Linked DNA regions of Arabidopsis thaliana. The protein of the gene in region 2 interacts with the protein of the main gene of each other region in a pairwise test. Each region holds a gene or a part of one and is shown on either strand. Other genes may lie near its edges.

What was found.
Region 1: the proteins of IDD12 (region 2) and ZFP5 interact in a two-hybrid assay, tested with the Arabidopsis thaliana proteins (one large-scale study listed by BioGRID).
Region 3: the proteins of IDD12 (region 2) and AT3G12130 interact in a two-hybrid assay, tested with the Arabidopsis thaliana proteins (one large-scale study listed by BioGRID).
Region 4: the proteins of IDD12 (region 2) and AT5G43620 interact in a two-hybrid assay, tested with the Arabidopsis thaliana proteins (one large-scale study listed by BioGRID).

The regions. Positions count from the first base shown.
Region 1 is NC_003070.9:3,447,905-3,451,797, reverse strand, and holds ZFP5 (zinc finger protein 5), read right to left. Parts: upstream 2,108-3,893; 5' UTR 2,065-2,107; coding exon 1,429-2,064; 3' UTR 572-1,428; downstream 1-571.
Region 2 is NC_003075.7:1,175,461-1,180,598, forward strand, and holds IDD12 (indeterminate(ID)-domain 12), read right to left. Parts: upstream 3,165-5,138; 5' UTR 3,036-3,164; coding exon 2,843-3,035; intron 2,607-2,842; coding exon 2,207-2,606; intron 1,352-2,206; coding exon 730-1,351; 3' UTR 540-729; downstream 1-539. UniProt on the Arabidopsis thaliana protein: Probable transcription factor.
Region 3 is NC_003074.8:3,863,544-3,868,354, forward strand, and holds AT3G12130 (KH domain-containing protein / zinc finger (CCCH type) family protein), read right to left. Parts: upstream 3,139-4,811; 5' UTR 2,864-3,138; coding exon 2,785-2,863; intron 2,105-2,784; coding exon 2,044-2,104; intron 1,550-2,043; coding exon 943-1,549; 3' UTR 528-942; downstream 1-527.
Region 4 is NC_003076.8:17,520,876-17,524,576, reverse strand, and holds AT5G43620 (Pre-mRNA cleavage complex II), read right to left. Parts: upstream 2,092-3,701; 5' UTR 1,925-2,091; coding exon 692-1,924; 3' UTR 574-691; downstream 1-573. Other genes in the region: SUC6 (sucrose-proton symporter 6), read right to left, coding at 3,569-3,701.

The DNA.
Region 1 (3,893 bases), on a different chromosome or scaffold from region 2:
GTAATGCAAGGAACGATGTTTCAAACTTAACAAAAACATATTTACCAAAATTAGGAAACATACGAATTGGACAATAAAGGAATAATACCTTTTAAAAACATTTTTTTTTTTAATTAAATGGGATAAGCATCCAATACACACATAAGCAAATGGAGTTCCGTTGGTGTCGGAAGTGACATGTGTAGACAAAAATTAAAGGGACCTCCAACACTGGATGATGGATCTTAAGCTTATCATTCCAATCACGCAAATTAATTTAATATACAAACCTGCCGACTCCATTTATTATATGTATTTTTAAAGCTGTACAGTTACGAATTGATGCACATATTTGTTTGGAGATTTAATGGGAAATGTCGAATCAATCTTACACCAAATCTATTTGAAAGAATAAGATCTAAAGTCAAGCTAGTTATATCCACCACTAAATTCACTTATTCTGTTCGTTTAAGGAGTATTCAGAATTTACAAACTCTTCTCATTGTCTCCGAAGAATCACAAGTACTCGTCTTGAGATTGGTAAGAGACATCAGTTTAAAATCTTATTTTTAAAATGTATATTCTTATATTAATAGCCATGACATAAAATCGTCTTTACAGTGTATACAAAAAAAATACAACATTCATAAAATCGTTGGATTGTACCTACAATAAGTATATAGGTTATTAAAAAAAAACATCAAGTTTATATCATTCAAATTCACATATGTTTTTTAGTCTCACGTTAGATCATATTATAACTTTTGAGATGAAATTTCTAACAAATTTTTTGAAATTTGACTATAAATCAAATTGAGGCGTGTACGAATTGCACGTGTAAGAACATATGTACACAACTTGTAACGAATACTCACCTTGTAATATAAATACATGCATATGTACCAATAGGAAGAACGTACCCATGGCCATATACACTAATTAAGCAACAAGAAAGTGATTATGTTCAAAATGTTGCCTCCATCAATTACGCAAATGCACCAACACGGCACACAGTATTAAAAAAAAAAAAAAAAAAACACAGCACACAATGATACAAAGAGATTTATGGATTAACCTTGTCAACTAGTATATGTACGGTCAGCAAACTAAGGAACAAGAAAATGATTTGCTTCCATAGTACGATTTATTGTTATTCCATAATTTATAAATGCTCGATCCTCTACCTGACTTTATTTTGTATCGGATGACGATGATGATCGAGAATTTTCTAGTAAAGCCATCTAATAAAGTTTTTTTTCTTTTTTTGAATAATTCCACAACATCACTTGGAATTATTTTTTTCTTCGAAAACATACATAAACCTAAATAAATTACAAAACTCAAATTGCATCAAGAATACTATATGTCTCGTTTTTTCCCCTTCATGATCCCAATGAAATACGCCACTATAGTACATATAATCTTAATCATATATCTCTCTTTAATTTGTTATGCCGCATCTCCGGCAAAACCTAGATGAAGATCCAGCGAGTTAATACTTCTCATCTGATCAGAACGAGAACTCAGATCTCTCTGGAACTGAATCATGTTCGGTCGAACACCGTACAGCTTACCCATCTCACCGCTTTGTTCATTAAGATCTTGGCACGTGTCATTATTACCGAAGTTAATCTGCGACGACCTCGACGACCAATCTTCGTTGTACACACCCATCTGATCATTATTCACGTGCATGGAGGAGAATGCACAATACGACGGCGTTTTGTATTGTCTCTGAAATGACGTCGTTATGGGTTGTTGGTGGTTGGTGAGATAATAGCCGATGCTGGCTCGCCGAGCTTGAAGCTGAAGCCTCTTCTTCTTCAACCTCTCCTTCTTGTGAGCGTTTTGGTGACCTCCTAAGGCTTGAGAATTTGCAAACTCTTTACCGCAGTATTGGCACTCGTGTCTTTTCATCACTGTTAACGACGTCGTGTTTGTGGACGAGCTCACGCTTTCCGCCGTCGTGATTTCCGGCGTACGACTGCCGCTGATGAGTTCGAAGCCGAATAGCTTTATCGTCTTGTCGGAGGACGAACCTGAAGAACTTTCGCCAGTACGAGACATTGTCGGATTTATAGACATATATGTGTGAACGTATGTGTTTATCGATGGGTTTAATTTGCTTAAGGAGATGTGTAAATGATCTTCTTTATATAGCAAGAGAGAGACGGGGGATATTTAGTTTAATAGTTTGTAACTAATGATGCATTGCATCTGTAATAGTATAATATATTGTATGTCTAAAGAAATTTTATATTGTATGAAGGGTTTTTTATATTAGTCATGAACAGCATCAAGTTATAGTATTTTAGGGTTTATAATAAAATTAGTTGTTTGAATCTAAGGTGTGACGAGAAATGATCTTGGAAAATAAACCTTGATAGGTACAATAAATATTACACTAACATGTAATAGGTTTTATAGAGATATATGTGGATACCACGCGCATATGCATATATGGGAAAGAAAAAGGGCAAAATGATAAAACGGGTTAGAGAAATCTTTTAAATACTATATATAAAGACTTAACTTGTCAACTTGTTTTATCTTTTATCTTATGTATTATACTATTATATCTACATTTACTTAAAATTGATCAAATTTAATTTATTTTAAATATTGTGGAAAAATACTTTCTGTTTAGTGCGTGAATAAAATAGTTAGATTAAGTTGAGATATGATGAATAAATAAATATATTTGAAAAGGCATGCAGCGATCACACCACTTGTGACAATTAATACAAAAGTTATATTCTAAGCTTAAAGAGAACATTAAGATGTTAATATCATATTATTGATCTAATATCAAAAGTCAAAGAAAGATATGAAGAAATAAGGCTAACCAACTTAGGCCAAAAAATATAATCAACATGGAAGGTTAAGTATAATATTTTGATCCCATAATGATATTAAATTTCACTATGTATTTGAATAACGCATATATCCATCATAAATTTAAGCGAGCAGATGACATTTTGTATCAAAACGTTCACTCAAGAGCATATTGCAACAAGAACGAAATCAAACGAATCGTCGTCCCTTGTTCTCTAACAAAGTTAATAGTCTACTGGATATTCTTTTTATTGATGTGTTTTTATGTAATTATCATTGTAGATTTTTGAAATTTCCCATCAATTAAAGTTGCTCGCAGAGAGAATTGATGATGGAGCATGAATTGAAGCTTTCTTGTAATTTATCTCAATGTCTTCCACCTAAACCAAATCTTATTTGTCTAATTACTGTGAAAAAGAAAGAAAAAGCCTATCTTGACCATGTTTAATGAATGTTAATTACTTATTACATTAAACAGGGAGAATAGTTAGTTGCCAAATGAAGGAATACAAGAAGTGGGCAATGATGCAAGCATCTATACTATTTAACAAATAAAAATTATATTCATAAGTCTAATCTTCAAAACAAGATCTTGGGCAAATCTTCATAAAGCATGAGAAGACAATATTTTATACAGAAAGAAAACTGATATTAAAGAAAGGTATAGATTATTCTATTTTCAGGTGAATCAAGTCATGGGATAATCTTATTTTAATACAAATAAGTCTAATGAAATGGCATTTGGTTTGGACAGTTGTTCCAATTAAGGACCCCACTGCTCTGTAACTTAAAAGATAGATCAAGACAATTAAGTGAAATAACAATAATTAATCCTTATTAGGTGTTATAATTATATTCACTCGTACAACCTAAGATCTCTGATTGGTAGACTTTCTTGCCACCAATAGGTGTCTCATGCAATCAAAGCCTCTTTCCTCTCGCTCAGGTCCTTTATTTAAAATTTTGAAGTAAGAAATTGTAATATTATATCAATCGAGGGAAAGAAGAATTCCAAATAAGTATGCTGTCAACGATAATCTTTTATTTATCCAATAGCATGTGGAATAATTTTAGCTAAT
Region 2 (5,138 bases):
AATTGTGATTGGTATAGCGACTATTCATCACAGTATGAAAATGATACATACATGTTAGTGTTCGTTACTAATGCCATAGTGGCAACATAAATGACCATCAATAGTATAAGCTCCTTGTCACTGATTAGTGATTACGATAGAAACTTGTTAACAACAATCAGAACAACAATAAATATGTTTGTCGACACCTATTGCCAAATTTGAGTTACGATGAATATGTATTTCTCAATGTGTATAAGATTGGCAATATATATCTTCAGAAGACAAAAGTGCATATTACATGATGTATACATGTAACGTGGATATGATGAAAGAAGTTGTATACTTGTATAGTATCTATCACAGTCAAATAAGCTGGCTTTGAGAGGACACATTCGTCAATCCCTAGAGACGTTGCAGTTTTGTGGGACTTTTACCGATCCATTTTTTAAGGAAAATCATATTATTTTTGATTTTTCATGTAATGTCCAAGTAAAAACTTTTTTAGGTTTTTTAACGGACATAATATTGACTAAGGAAATTCTAAATGTTCCTTACTTCCTTGTACGAATATATTTTTACAAGAAAATCCAACGTAAACGAGACAAAAATTCAAAGCTAGCAACAATTTTAGAAAATTAATAATCCCCAGAAAGAAATGCTCTGTGTCTTTTTTTTTGTCCACGAGGGTATTTAAGTAATTTGAGAGAAACAAAATAAAGAAAGTAACAAGATTCCAGTTTTGCCCTTTTACATACGATGGGCCCCTGAGAATCCCAGATGATCGTAAGCCTTCTGAAACGAGTGATCATGAGATTCGGTATCGTACGCCGACATAGGAAACGCCACTCCACCCGCGTACTCTAGCATATCCCCAGGTCTGACGCTAACGTGTCCCCCATGACCCGTGAGTCCAAGAAAGTCTCTGGTCAAACGGTCAGCTTTCTGCCACGTGGACGTAAACCCATCAACAACTAACTGGTCGTACTCAGACGAAGAAGCTGACGTCATCATGACTCGGTCAACACCAAGAAACTCGTTGACGTTCGTCAAATGTCGGTGATGACCAATGGATCGAGTCTGTCCTCCGCCGCCGAAAGTAGTGGAGCTGAGAGAGGTGGCCTTTTGGAGAAGAGCCGTCGCGGAAAGAGCTGCCGTTGGAGGCGTTGAAAGAGCGGCGGTGGAAAGTGATGGTTCGATGAAAAGAGGTGATGACGTGAAGAGCAAGGAGGAAGATTTATTGAACATAAAATGATGGCCTTGGAAATTAGGGTTAGGGTTTGTGAGATTGGAGGAAGAAGTTGAGTGGAGTCTTGCACTTTCTTCTGCTAATGCATCACAAAACGCTCTATGCGTTATGAAAGTGTCTTTCCTGTTTATAAAATATATATATCACAAACAAACAAAAACAAATATTAGATAGAAACATAAACAATATATGTATGTATGATCAATAATGATGCAATTGTAACATTAAACCAAAAATAAAATGATGCAATTGCAAGTAGTGAAATAGTTTGGAGTGGACCATACAGAGATAATAAAGAAGTTTCAAAATTCAAAGAAAAGCTTTTGAAGCCTATTATGTCATGATGGACCAATGCAATTTTACACACAGCAAATCAAATCATAGATTATCAAAATCTTTTTACAAAAAAAAAAATTACAAAATCAAATCAAGATTCTTTTTCACTATTATGATGATGAAGGAGAAGATTCACCTGCAGGCTTCTTTTTATCTCCTCATTAAATCAACACAAATTTTACATATAATGTTATTAAAAAATCATTTTTTGTTGGACAAGAATTAATTTATATTACACAAATACATACATATTAGCTCTAAAAAAGTGTGAAGTGATTTATGTAAAAAAAAAAAAAATTATATATACACGCAATAATGGCCAACATGTAAATATAATGTCTTAATCCATGAATTTTGCCACTGCATTTAATTGCACTCAAACTATATTCCATGGACAGTCACAAGCAGATTTGTCAAAGAACATAACCAAAAGAAGACAATTGAAATCAGTCACACGAAAGCATTAAATTCATCTATATATATCAAACTACTCCAAGAAAAACTATTGACTCCTATCTCTATAGAGATAGACAATAATTTAGATTTGTCACAGAAACATCAGTAAAATTTTCAAGAAAGACAAGGAACAAAGAAAGAACTTGACATAAAGAACAAAAAAATGAAAAATTAAAAAAGGGTTACCTCGAGAAAAGAGTGCCGCAGTCACATCTATAATCTCTAGTACCACAGATCTTGGTATGAGCTTTCCAATCAGATTGAACAGCATAGAACTTTGAACACTTTTCACATTTCCATTTCTTCTCTCCATGTTTCCTGCAAAAGTGTTTCTTGATCCCTGTGAGATCCCCAAGAGCTCTAGATGGATGGTGATGAGCACAGTTTGTCTCTGGGCACACGTAGACTTTCTTCTTTTGTTGTTCTTTGGTGTTCTTCTGTTTCAGCTTCCATGGAAGATTGTGGCCTCTCCTGTGAAGCTGTAGATTCTGATCTCTTTGAAACCCTTTGTTGCATATCTCACAAACGAATCTGTTTGTTGCAAGAAGTGTCTTTGGTGATAATGCGATCACTTCTGCATCTGGATCTGCCACATAATAAACCAGTTTCACATGAAAAATAAAGTCTCAAACACATAGTCTTGGTAAAAAGATGATATTCACACAAACCCTAATATTAAAAAAAGGAAGACTTTTTTGCAAAACCCCATAAGAAAAAGTTTAGGTTCCAAGATTCTACCAGGAATCAAAGACAGTATCCTGATTCATTTGGTTTTTCAAGATTCCAAATGAAAAAAAAAAAAAAAAAGTACTATTTTCTTACCAGGATTTCCAGGAAGGCCTCTCTTTTTCTTAGGCTTGTGAGTCTCTGTGTGTGTACAAACACTAGAAATCACATTGTGAAAGCCACTGAATTCTTGGATGGTACTGAGTGTGTTGTTACCAGAAGAGGCACTTGCTTCAGTAGACAAAGAGCTTAGCTTATAGGACAAGGAATGAGAAGAAAACATATCCATGGCTAGCTATATGGTTATAGCTATATGAAGAAGGAAACTCCAACAAAAGAAAAAACAAAAACAAAACTTGGAAGAAAACTATAAAAAGATCCAAACTTTGGTTTCTTCTGATCTCTTAAAATAAGGAACTGCAAGTACCTAGAGAGTAAGAAGTAAGTGTACACAGAAAGACATCATTCTTTGGCTATATATGCAAAATTAAATAATTTAGTTACTTGAGTAGTGTATATAATGCACATGTATATGTATAGTCTCAAAAGCAAGAAGACGACCATGATGGATTATTCTCCAATGTCACTATCATGTACACATATATGTGTGTGCTTACAATAAATGCAAAGACTGTTTGATTCCCATTTTTATTAGTTTTTCTATGTGCAGATAAATACCACAGAGGAAAGAGATTGTGCTTGAAAGTGAGACTTTGACTTTGTTTTCATATATCTTTAACTGTTTTTTATTTTTTATTCCTCAGTTTTATTCTTTATTTTATGTAATTTTTTAAGTGTTCTGCATTACAGAGAAGAGTGATGATTACAGGTTCAGACTATAAGCATTTACTTGAAATTGTCTACTAAAAAAGAAGAGTAGACCCAGAAAGAAAAAAAGCAAGCTATCAATTTGTGCAATTAATGGAAAATATTGTGAGATGAGACTTATCAGGCCTAATTTCCTTAAATGGAAGTAATAATCACTTTTATATCAAGAAAAGTGTGCCTCTTTTCAATTTATTGGGGTTTGAATAATGGAAACTTTTTTTGTTTTGTTTAAGTTTGTAAAGAGAATCTAAACACACAATTACTTAGCCAAAATAAACGTTGTTCTTATAATAGAAGAACTAAATTTAGTAATACAACCATTGAGGAATATCTAATAGGAAACTATCTACTGGAAAATTAAGTATCCAAGATGAAATTGTTTGACTTATTGCCAAGAGTATAAGTATACTTGTTCAATTGTGCTATTTTCTATTTGTATTTCCTTATTACTTTAGCTAGGGATTCTAGTTCGATTTTATTTCATGTAGAAAAAGCTATAACTTTCTTCTGAATTTGTCTTTAAATATTATTATATTTTACTTGTGTGTTATTATGAATTTGAGTGATGTTACTTTCTCTACCAAGGCTGCTAAAGCTTTATCTTTTTTTTTCCTTATAGTTTCTCTCATTCCCATAATATACCCAAAATTCTTAAAAAGGCACACTGATTTGAATGAAACTTATCATAAGCTATAAAATAAATTAAAACAACGTAAGGAAATAGAAACTCATTGTAAAAAGGGAACATCATACAAAGATTCTAACAAAAAAAAAACAAATTTAGGTTTAAAGCTATTTCGCCCTAAAGACGAATTAAACAACTTTATTGTCTATTTCTCTAATTTAAATTTAAATTCTGATTATACAACATCCTTACATGCCTCCTAACTTAAGTTTGAATCACTCACAAAGATAAAAGAGAGTTGTATTTGTAGGGGAGAAAAATACATACACTCAAAGCAACCAATGCCCTAAAAGCATTTTGGCTTTGAATATCAAAATGGAATATATCACTTTGTTGAATTTTGTTTCGTCTTCATATGATTTACTCTTGTGGATGACTTTGTGGCTTTGTGCTATCTTCCTCTTCCTTTTTTTCCAACCTTTATAAGTTTTTGATTAATATTCTTAATATATCCCTTTGAAAATTGTTCATGTCCAAAAAGAAAATACTTACCCCACCAACAAGAATTTTTCGCACTCTTTCATCCGTTCTTTAACTTTTTATCTGTTGAAATTTTTCTATAGAAAAATATTCCAATGAAGAACATTTTGTTAAGTCGATTTTGTCCTTAGACGTGTCTTGTACCATTTGATTCATTGGGATAGGCGTGTCTACTGTAGTAAAATTCAGTTTATGATGGAATCCCTTTAGGCCAAAACAAAACAAAACGTGTGACCATTATGAGACACGAGCGTAACTAAAACCCATGCAACACCGAATATTCTTCTTTTAAAATTTTCATAAAGGCTTTTTTGAATTGTGAAATATTCTGAAAATATATATGCTATACGAAGGAAATAAACACATGAATATTCGAATTCTTGTAACAAACAAAGGGAA
Region 3 (4,811 bases), on a different chromosome or scaffold from region 2:
ATTTGATTAACACCAACTTGGTTGGATTCAACTTTTTTATATTTAAGTTTCGTCTCTATTATTACTAGTTTGCCACTTACACAAGTCGTAAGCAGTGGTAGGCGGGGAAAGGGCTAAAAGTGGAAAAGAGAGTTCTTACGTTTGGCTTCTTCTATCATGTGAAACATTAAAATATCTACAGACATTGTGTTGTGGTGGACTGGTGGTCACGTGTATGGATACCCAAACGTGATGCACTTTGGTAGATTCGTGCGGATTTTCTCTTGTTTATGTTTTCAATTGTAATCTTTATTATATTATTAATCAAATTAGGTGGCGGACGGAAAATACAAGTACAAGTTAATGCAATCAATTAATTGGGATGATTAAGTTAAGTCTCTTGCATTGGACTTCTATTTTTCTATCTATCTATTTACCGCGTATAACGACGACACACCTTAATTTCAACATTTTTAAGATCACCCGTCACCAACCATTTATTTTGATCTTTTTCTTCTATCAATCACGGATTTTTATTAAACCATTTTTCTCACAAGAAACCACATTTTTGTTCTTAATAAGTGTTAACTGATCTCGATTCAAACAGTTAGCAAAGACTCCAACATATTCAGAAAATCTTACGAAAATTATATAAGTGATTCACACACATGACATAACGGAGATAACAAGAATATGAATAAAAGGCGTCATACAATCCTAACCACTGTTTCTGAGTTTTGTCAATCATTCTCTTCAAGCTTCCTCCCATCTCAATTCATACTCAGAATTAACCAAAAACTAAACTATTAAAAAAAACACCAAATAGACTTACAATGATAATGAAACTAAAATTGTATTCTCTCATAACAAACAAAAACAAAGTAGGTGAAGATGATATCAGATATCACCACCACTAAATAAGAAACTAGTTTTACCAGCAAATTCTCTATCTGCAAGCAACAACTAGACGATTCCTGACTTGCGTAGCTCTGCTTCCCCATGAGCAAAGTGACATCTATCACCAAATGTACAGTTTCCTTTTGAGAATCTCTCACATATCTTAGTCTTGAAGTTGCTCCCTGGATGTGGTTTCCCTTCAGAACCCATGCCACCACCACCACCAAGACCACCACCAGGTGGTTTCTTAGCTGCTGAATTAAGCCTCCCAATCAAATCTTTTACCATTGCACTCGCTTCGCTTATCTGCTCAAGTGTTCCTTCAAGCACAATGTTCTTCAAGTTTGGGTCTCTCTCGTGATCTTGAATTGATAATTTTACTCCCGTCTGACGACATATCTGCTTTGAACTGACTCCGCCTTTCCCAATGATTGCACCGGCTAAAGAGGCATCAACACTGAATCTGGCAGTGGCTGAGTCACCAAAGTTAGAGACATGGCCAGGCCCAGACTCTCCCCTCCCTGAGAATCGGCCTCCATTACCAGAACCTTGCATGTTTCTGGAAACTTGAGGAATGGGTGGTCCCATATTTGTCATCTGCGATACAGCATTGTATCCTCCGGGAACATAATGCAAGAAATGGCAATTCTCTCCGAAAGGACAGCCAGAAGTACTGCAATAGAAGCATAATACATCAGAGATTTAAACACAATGGGAATAGAATAGCACAAGAACAAACCAAATAGAGACAGAAGAAATAGCATATTGATACAGCAATGATCATTGTGCTATAAGAGAATAAAAATAGTAATCCGGTTCTGCTTATAGATGCGCGGCAATTCCACTAGTAATGCGACAACTTTACCTGACCATAAACAACTATATTATAAACCCAAAATCACTAATACCCTACCACCAAATAGAAGAACAACTATCACAGCTCAAACAAAATACATGTTTTGGTTGATTTTGTTATGTTATAACAACCAGTTGAACTAAATGATTCTCAAACTAGATACGCTTATCTATTCAGATTGAAACATGTTTACATACCTGTATAACAACTAACCACTTCATTAGCATCTAGTATTACTTGGTAATTTCGGGATCAAACTTGCAGGTAGATAACAATTCGAATATTAATTCATTAAGTAAAAGGATTATAACCTGAAAAATTTTGTGCATGGCTTCGATTTGCTTCCTAAACCAGTTGAATATGATTCCATCTCTGTTCCAAACATTAAGTGTTTTCCTTTAGTTAAAAACTTATCTGAAGTTCAATATATTGCTTTTAGAATCCAACATATCATTCATACATTCATCTTATCATCTATATGAAACTTTCAAATCAAAAGATGCATAATGTTTTTTAATGTTTTCAGGATAACTAACCAACTGGACACAAAAACACTTTGCAGAGGAAAAAGGCTTATTCAATCAACAAAACTAAATCCTTGGTATGGTTATAAACTGTTATTAGCTTTATATTTGAGAAGAGGGATTAAAGTAAAGAAATACTAAAACTCAAGGACAGTGGAAGATATAAGCTTGAGACCAACAAAACCCAGTAATTAACATTTAACAATAGTAACAACTTAGCTAAAGCTGATCTATCATCACTCAATTTAGATTTACATCAGATAAAAAAGGCCAGTACTTTTTGCAGTAATCTAGCTAATTAACAAGATAAGTAAGCAAACAGAACACGAAATCACCAAAACAAAGCACCGAGAACGAAAGAAGAAAATTTTGCCTCCTAGTAAATCTCATAACTAGCAAAAAAAAGTCTTAATTTTACCCACAACTTAAGATCTCGAATTTAAACCTTAATCAGAGACAGTGAAACATAAGGAACTAAAAAAGATCGGTACAACAGAATTCCAGTAGATAAAGAGTAAAAGAACTAACCTTGCTTAGACTTCTTGTATCCGCCGCCATTGGAGTTGAATGAGCCAGCTTCAGGCCGTCCTCTCTTACGAGTATCCATGATTAAGTATAGATCCGATACGAGAGTAGAAATCAAATTGACTCTAGAGTCTAGAGAGCGAAAGGAAAAGCGAATCGGAGAAGACAAATCGAAATCGGAATAGGGAAAAAGAGTTAGAGAGAATAAGCGAGAAAATAAACCTAACCCTAAGGTGGTTGTCGTCGAGGGAAAAAGATGAGATTTTCCTCTTTTTTGTTTACTCTTGCCGGTTTTTTTTATTGGAACTTAAACCGGCGTGGCCCAGTGCACAAAATAAGATGTAAACCGAAATTTCTCTGTAAAGGACAATAAACCGGAAAGATTTAGCTTAACGTGGGCCGTGAAGTAAGCGGTGCGCCTGTTTACGATAAGCTAAAATGTCAAATGGATGACGTCATGTTTTCCTTATTTGATCTCTTTGTAACATTAACAAAATGGAACTTTTACCGGCCCATTAACGGCCCACAACTTCTTTTAATGGCACAAAATTTCAGTTCGAAGTTACTGAAATCTTGGGATAATGACTATGAAACTTGCAATCAATAAAAATGTCAGCTATAACTATTCGGGATTTGTGGAAGCATTTGATTGGTTTCTGTTTTACCAATCACAGTTGTAAACAGAAAAAATGTTAAATATTGAAAGAAAAAATGTGGAAGAAACAAAAATAAAACTCAATAAGCCAAAGAGACTCAAAAGCTTAAAGACACTCTTGAATGACTTGATAAGTATTCCCTACAGCTACAAGAGCCAAAAATGCTAAGGCTATTAAAATCAGCAAGGGTTGAATATTCTTGCGAAATGCAACAAGTTGGTCCTTGTGATCCTCCCTAATATGTACCTTGGCCATCACAAAATCATCTTCTTGTTTCTCATGATGAGCCTTCTTGATTCCTTCTTCATGTGCCAATTCCTCAAGCCTAAACAAAACGTCTGAATCAACCAACAAGTCTGAAGCATTATGATCATTATTAAGATCAGTTTGAGGGATCAGTTTAAGGATCGGATATTTGGAGTCTGACGATGAACGCGGGAAAGACTGAGATCGACAAACTCGTTTCCGATTGGGACGACACTTATATTCTTGAAATCATATTGCACCATTGTATTTTTTTTCTTAAGAGAGGAATACCAAAGAAGCTTTGCTTAGGCTTTGGGAGAACAAACGAATGCATTACATGTTTGTTCTTTAGGAATAGACGATAGAAAGGGAATAGGCAAAATATAACTACTTAGAGGGATTAGGCCAAATCTAAAAGAACACGGATTAGTTGGGAAAAAAATGGTGAATATTTTCATTGTCATCTACCTAGTTTCCTTTTTTTTATAAAAAAAATCCTTTTAATATTATCAAATAAAAAATAATACCTAATGAATTTAATTTTATTAGAACAAATTCCATTATTCTAAAAAAATAGAGTAAAAATTGGGAAAAAAAGAAGATATGCGTGGCAAAAAAAGAAAGAGGAAGAAGGTAAACGGGTCAAAGAATATCTACGTTGCTTCTACAATTCTCTATTATTGACAGCTTCTTCTTTCCCCTTTCTCTCTCGACTTCTAACAATCGCATAATCTCCGATCATCTTCTTCTTCTTCTCTCTTCTCCGTTATTCCTCCCGATTCTGCGATTTCTCAGCTTACATGATGACTGGAAACCCGATCCCAGTCAATCTCTCTAAGGAGGGTTCTTCGTCTCCAGGTATTTATAAAATTCCTTCTTGAGCTAGGATTTTGTTTGATTCATCGCTTTCTGTGTTTGATTTTTTACATATTTCCTGCTCTCTATAGCTTTATTTCATCATCGGTCTCTGGTGTCGAATTTGTTTCCGGCTCTTGTCAAGTAGTTTGGGACCTTAATACCTTCAAATCCGTTATCTCGTAGGGATTACAAAGAAATCGCAACGAGCTGATTTAGAAGAATTCGATTGAATAAATCAAACATGCTAGATCGAAGATGAATGAAATCCGC
Region 4 (3,701 bases), on a different chromosome or scaffold from region 2:
GAGTCATTAAAAATGGGGCCAAACAGTATTAGTCTAACCTTGTGATTTGCATTGGATACCCAATAGGTCATTCACGAACGTAGTATATACATAGGATAACCGATCACGTGGTGTAAGAAACTTAAAGGGCCGACGAGGGGTTACCTAACAAAATAAAAGATTCTTCTTTTAAAAGGTTTAAAAGAGAAATCTTACGCATAAACCATATACCAATATAAGTCTACAGAGATGTTAATCCTACAGCGTTCCACGTTTTACAAGTAGATCGCACCGCGCTTAGAGATGTTAATGGAACCCTAGAGAGTATCTCTTCTACCAAAGCCACCGGAAGATCAGACATCATCATTATACTTATAGATTGTGAATGTGTTATCTCATTAGAATGAGAATAAATATAGAGAGTTACACAAAGGAATTGGTTTCCTTGTTTCGGTTTATTGGTATAGAGAGTCTGGTTTATGTAAACCGGGAATCAAGTGAGATTTCACTGGTTAATCCGGAACAATCTATACTATAATTCTGGATTACAATAAAACAGACTCTATAACTCCGGATTAAAAGTAAAGAGGTGATAAGAGTAAAATAGGAGATTCAATTGATAGAACTGTATTTGTGTTACATCTTGATTAATGTAATGTACATTTACTTTTAAAAAAACGAATGACTAAAACAGAGATATAAAAAATCTCAATCAGCAGAGTATAGCTTTCGCAACCGATGGAACTGTAACAGACATTACCCTCGACGGCTCTCTCAAATCCTTAGCAGGTCGGGGTTCAGGCATACACTTAACATGAACTATACGACCATTCTTGGTTAAGTAGACTGCATCTTTGTACATCCAGTCATCAGCTTCATGGCTAAAGAACTCTTCAAACGGCTCTACGCATAACGCGCAATTCTTCTGATCTTCATCCGCAGGCACCATGTGTTGTTTTTGTACTTGATCCTTTTCATTCTTCTTCTGCATTTCTCCTCCTCCAAAAGATGCTACTTCTACGGTCCCTCCTCCCGTTGGTGCACAAAGCCATAAAGATGCACTCGCTAACCATCCCCTCGATTTCTTCGGTTGCTGACCAAGTCTTGTAGTGGTTTTCACCGACCTGTTCTTCCTTACGTGCCAATCCATATGTTTACTATGCTCTTCTTGACATTTGAATCTCACCCCACACGAAGTACATTGCCTCGGCATATCAGAATACAGAGACTTAATCACAGATTCATGTCGAACATTAAGCGATGATGGATTGTCAAAGCTTAATCCAACAGGCAATGAATCATTATTACTTGCTTCTGAAGTTTTCTTCTCTTTCTCATTGTTAAGAAGACTAAGCAAATCAGTCAATTCTTTGCTTAAAACAATTGGTTGATGCATCGATTGAGACACAACTGAAACCATGTTCGAATGATTCATCGGATTTTGAACATTCGTAAAATCAGGTGTGTTTGGTACAAAATTCGATGACCTAACAGGATAATTCGGAGTTGAATTTGGAACCCATTGAGGCAACGAATCTAAAGGATCAAGCTTACGATAAGGTAATGGAAGAGGAACAATTTGGGGATTAGGGTTTCCATAAACAACAAAGGGTTTCTGATAATTGTTGGTGTTAGAATCATTGTTAGGTAAAGCAAAACTTGAATTAGAAGCAATCACATCAACACCGTAATTGTTATATGACTGAGAAGAAACCCTAGACACGTTATTATTAGTATTACTACCATAATGATACAGAGGATTATGACCAGATCGGAATTGCTGTTGCAGTTGCGATCTGAAACGTTTTTGCGGCGGCGCGTAACGGTTCCTCTCCTCTTGATAACATCCGATTCCGCCACCGTAACCGCGATTGTCGTTTCGTCTCTTCATCGTTGTTCCAGCGTTTGCGTTTCTCTGAGCAGAGAAGGATCCGTTTGATGCCATCTTCGCGATTCAACAACAAGTTATGAGTTACCAGAGATCGATCGCAGAAAGACAAAAGAAACCCTAAATTTGGATTGGGGTGATCGCGTTGAGAATTTTAGAAATTGAAACGATTGAAAAATAAAACGAATCTGAAGAGGCAGGAAGATAGGTTTCTCTATAAATAAACGTTTATGTGATTATGTCGGTTGATAAAGTAAACCGCGTGAATCGCGCGTTGTCACATGTTTTGGGCCACGCTTTATAGGCCCAATATTTTAATGGGCCTGTTTAATGGGGCTTCTGGAATATAGTCGTTGTTCCGCTCTATTTTGAAGAAGGAAGCTATGGATTCTAAGAAGGCACTAGAGCTTGTAAAGCATGGAGCTACGCTTCTCTTTCTCGATGTTCCTCAGCATACGCTTGTTGGAATCGATACTCAGGTTTGTTAACTACTTCTTCAAAGTTTAAAGCTTTTATCGAATTTGAACTTTTATCAAATTCCTCAAATGTCATTTAGTAATGTTCTGGTCTCTGGTCTCTGTGATATCCTGTTAGTAGCACCATGGAACTGTATAAACCGTAAGTGAATATATATTCACTATCTTTTGTTGACTAAACAAGGTTATTGTACGCAAATGGAATCAGCAAGACGAGTGGTTAAACAAAGTATCTGAAGAAGAGGTATGGCCTTTTAATAACCTAGTGCAGTAAATTTAACAATCCTGCTTATACGTTGGTCAGCGCAATTTTCATTCTTTTCAATCCCTTTGATGCCAGGAAGAGAGGTATTCTCAAGCAGTCAGGTCTTTAGATTCGTATGTATCACCTTTTTTTCTTTTTTTGTGTAAGATGAAGTTTTTACGAGTGATATATAGTTCAAAAATAGAAAAGAAAAGAAGACAGTAATATCAATCTTTGTAAATAATTAAAATATAAAATAATTAAACTAGCCAAAACGATATAGAAAGTCGCCAAAATTTAGTCATGTTTTAATTATTCATTTTTTAGAAAAAAATACATAGATTAAAAAAAACATGTTAAAATTGATTATAAATGTATTAACTTTTGTGATTTACATTTTTATATAATTTTAAACTACTGATATTTAATTATTTGTCTTGAAGTTTAAAATTCATCAATAATAACTAATAAATAGTGTATAGAAAACCTAAAAAATTGCTTCATGAAACAAACTTTTTTTTCTAAAAAATTAATTAATAAGAAACAAAGAAAATAATAGTTACTACCGAATAATGATAATTTTGTGACTCATATAATCTACCATCAGAGAAAGAAAATTTGTGGGAATTAAGAGTCAATTTGGAACAAAATGTTTTAAACCGTGGTATATAAGAATATTTTTTTTTCAAGAGAATTGTTTTTTTATCTTTAGGCGACATTTTCCTAATTCATCCATAAAGTTAAAAAAAAAAGTTTTATGTATTTAATTTGTGTTACTTTGGAACTTTGGAGATGATTTGCTAAATTTGGAATTAACTTATTTTTTGTGTTATTTGTAAGAACTGCCATAAATTTTAAATTAATTTCAGTAATTTAACAGGAGAAATTTAAATTAATTTCAAGTATACATGTATGGGTCCTTATCTAGTGCTACAATAATATTAAACATGTCCATATATACCAAATAAAACGCAAAAAAAATTATGGTAAAACGGAAAATGCCACAACACTGCTGATTGCCGCTGCAATAGCTCCAACCACAAATCCTGGTAAATTCCCACCTCCAAATAACGCATCAATAGGACCAACTCCAAATGATACAACCATTTGTGGT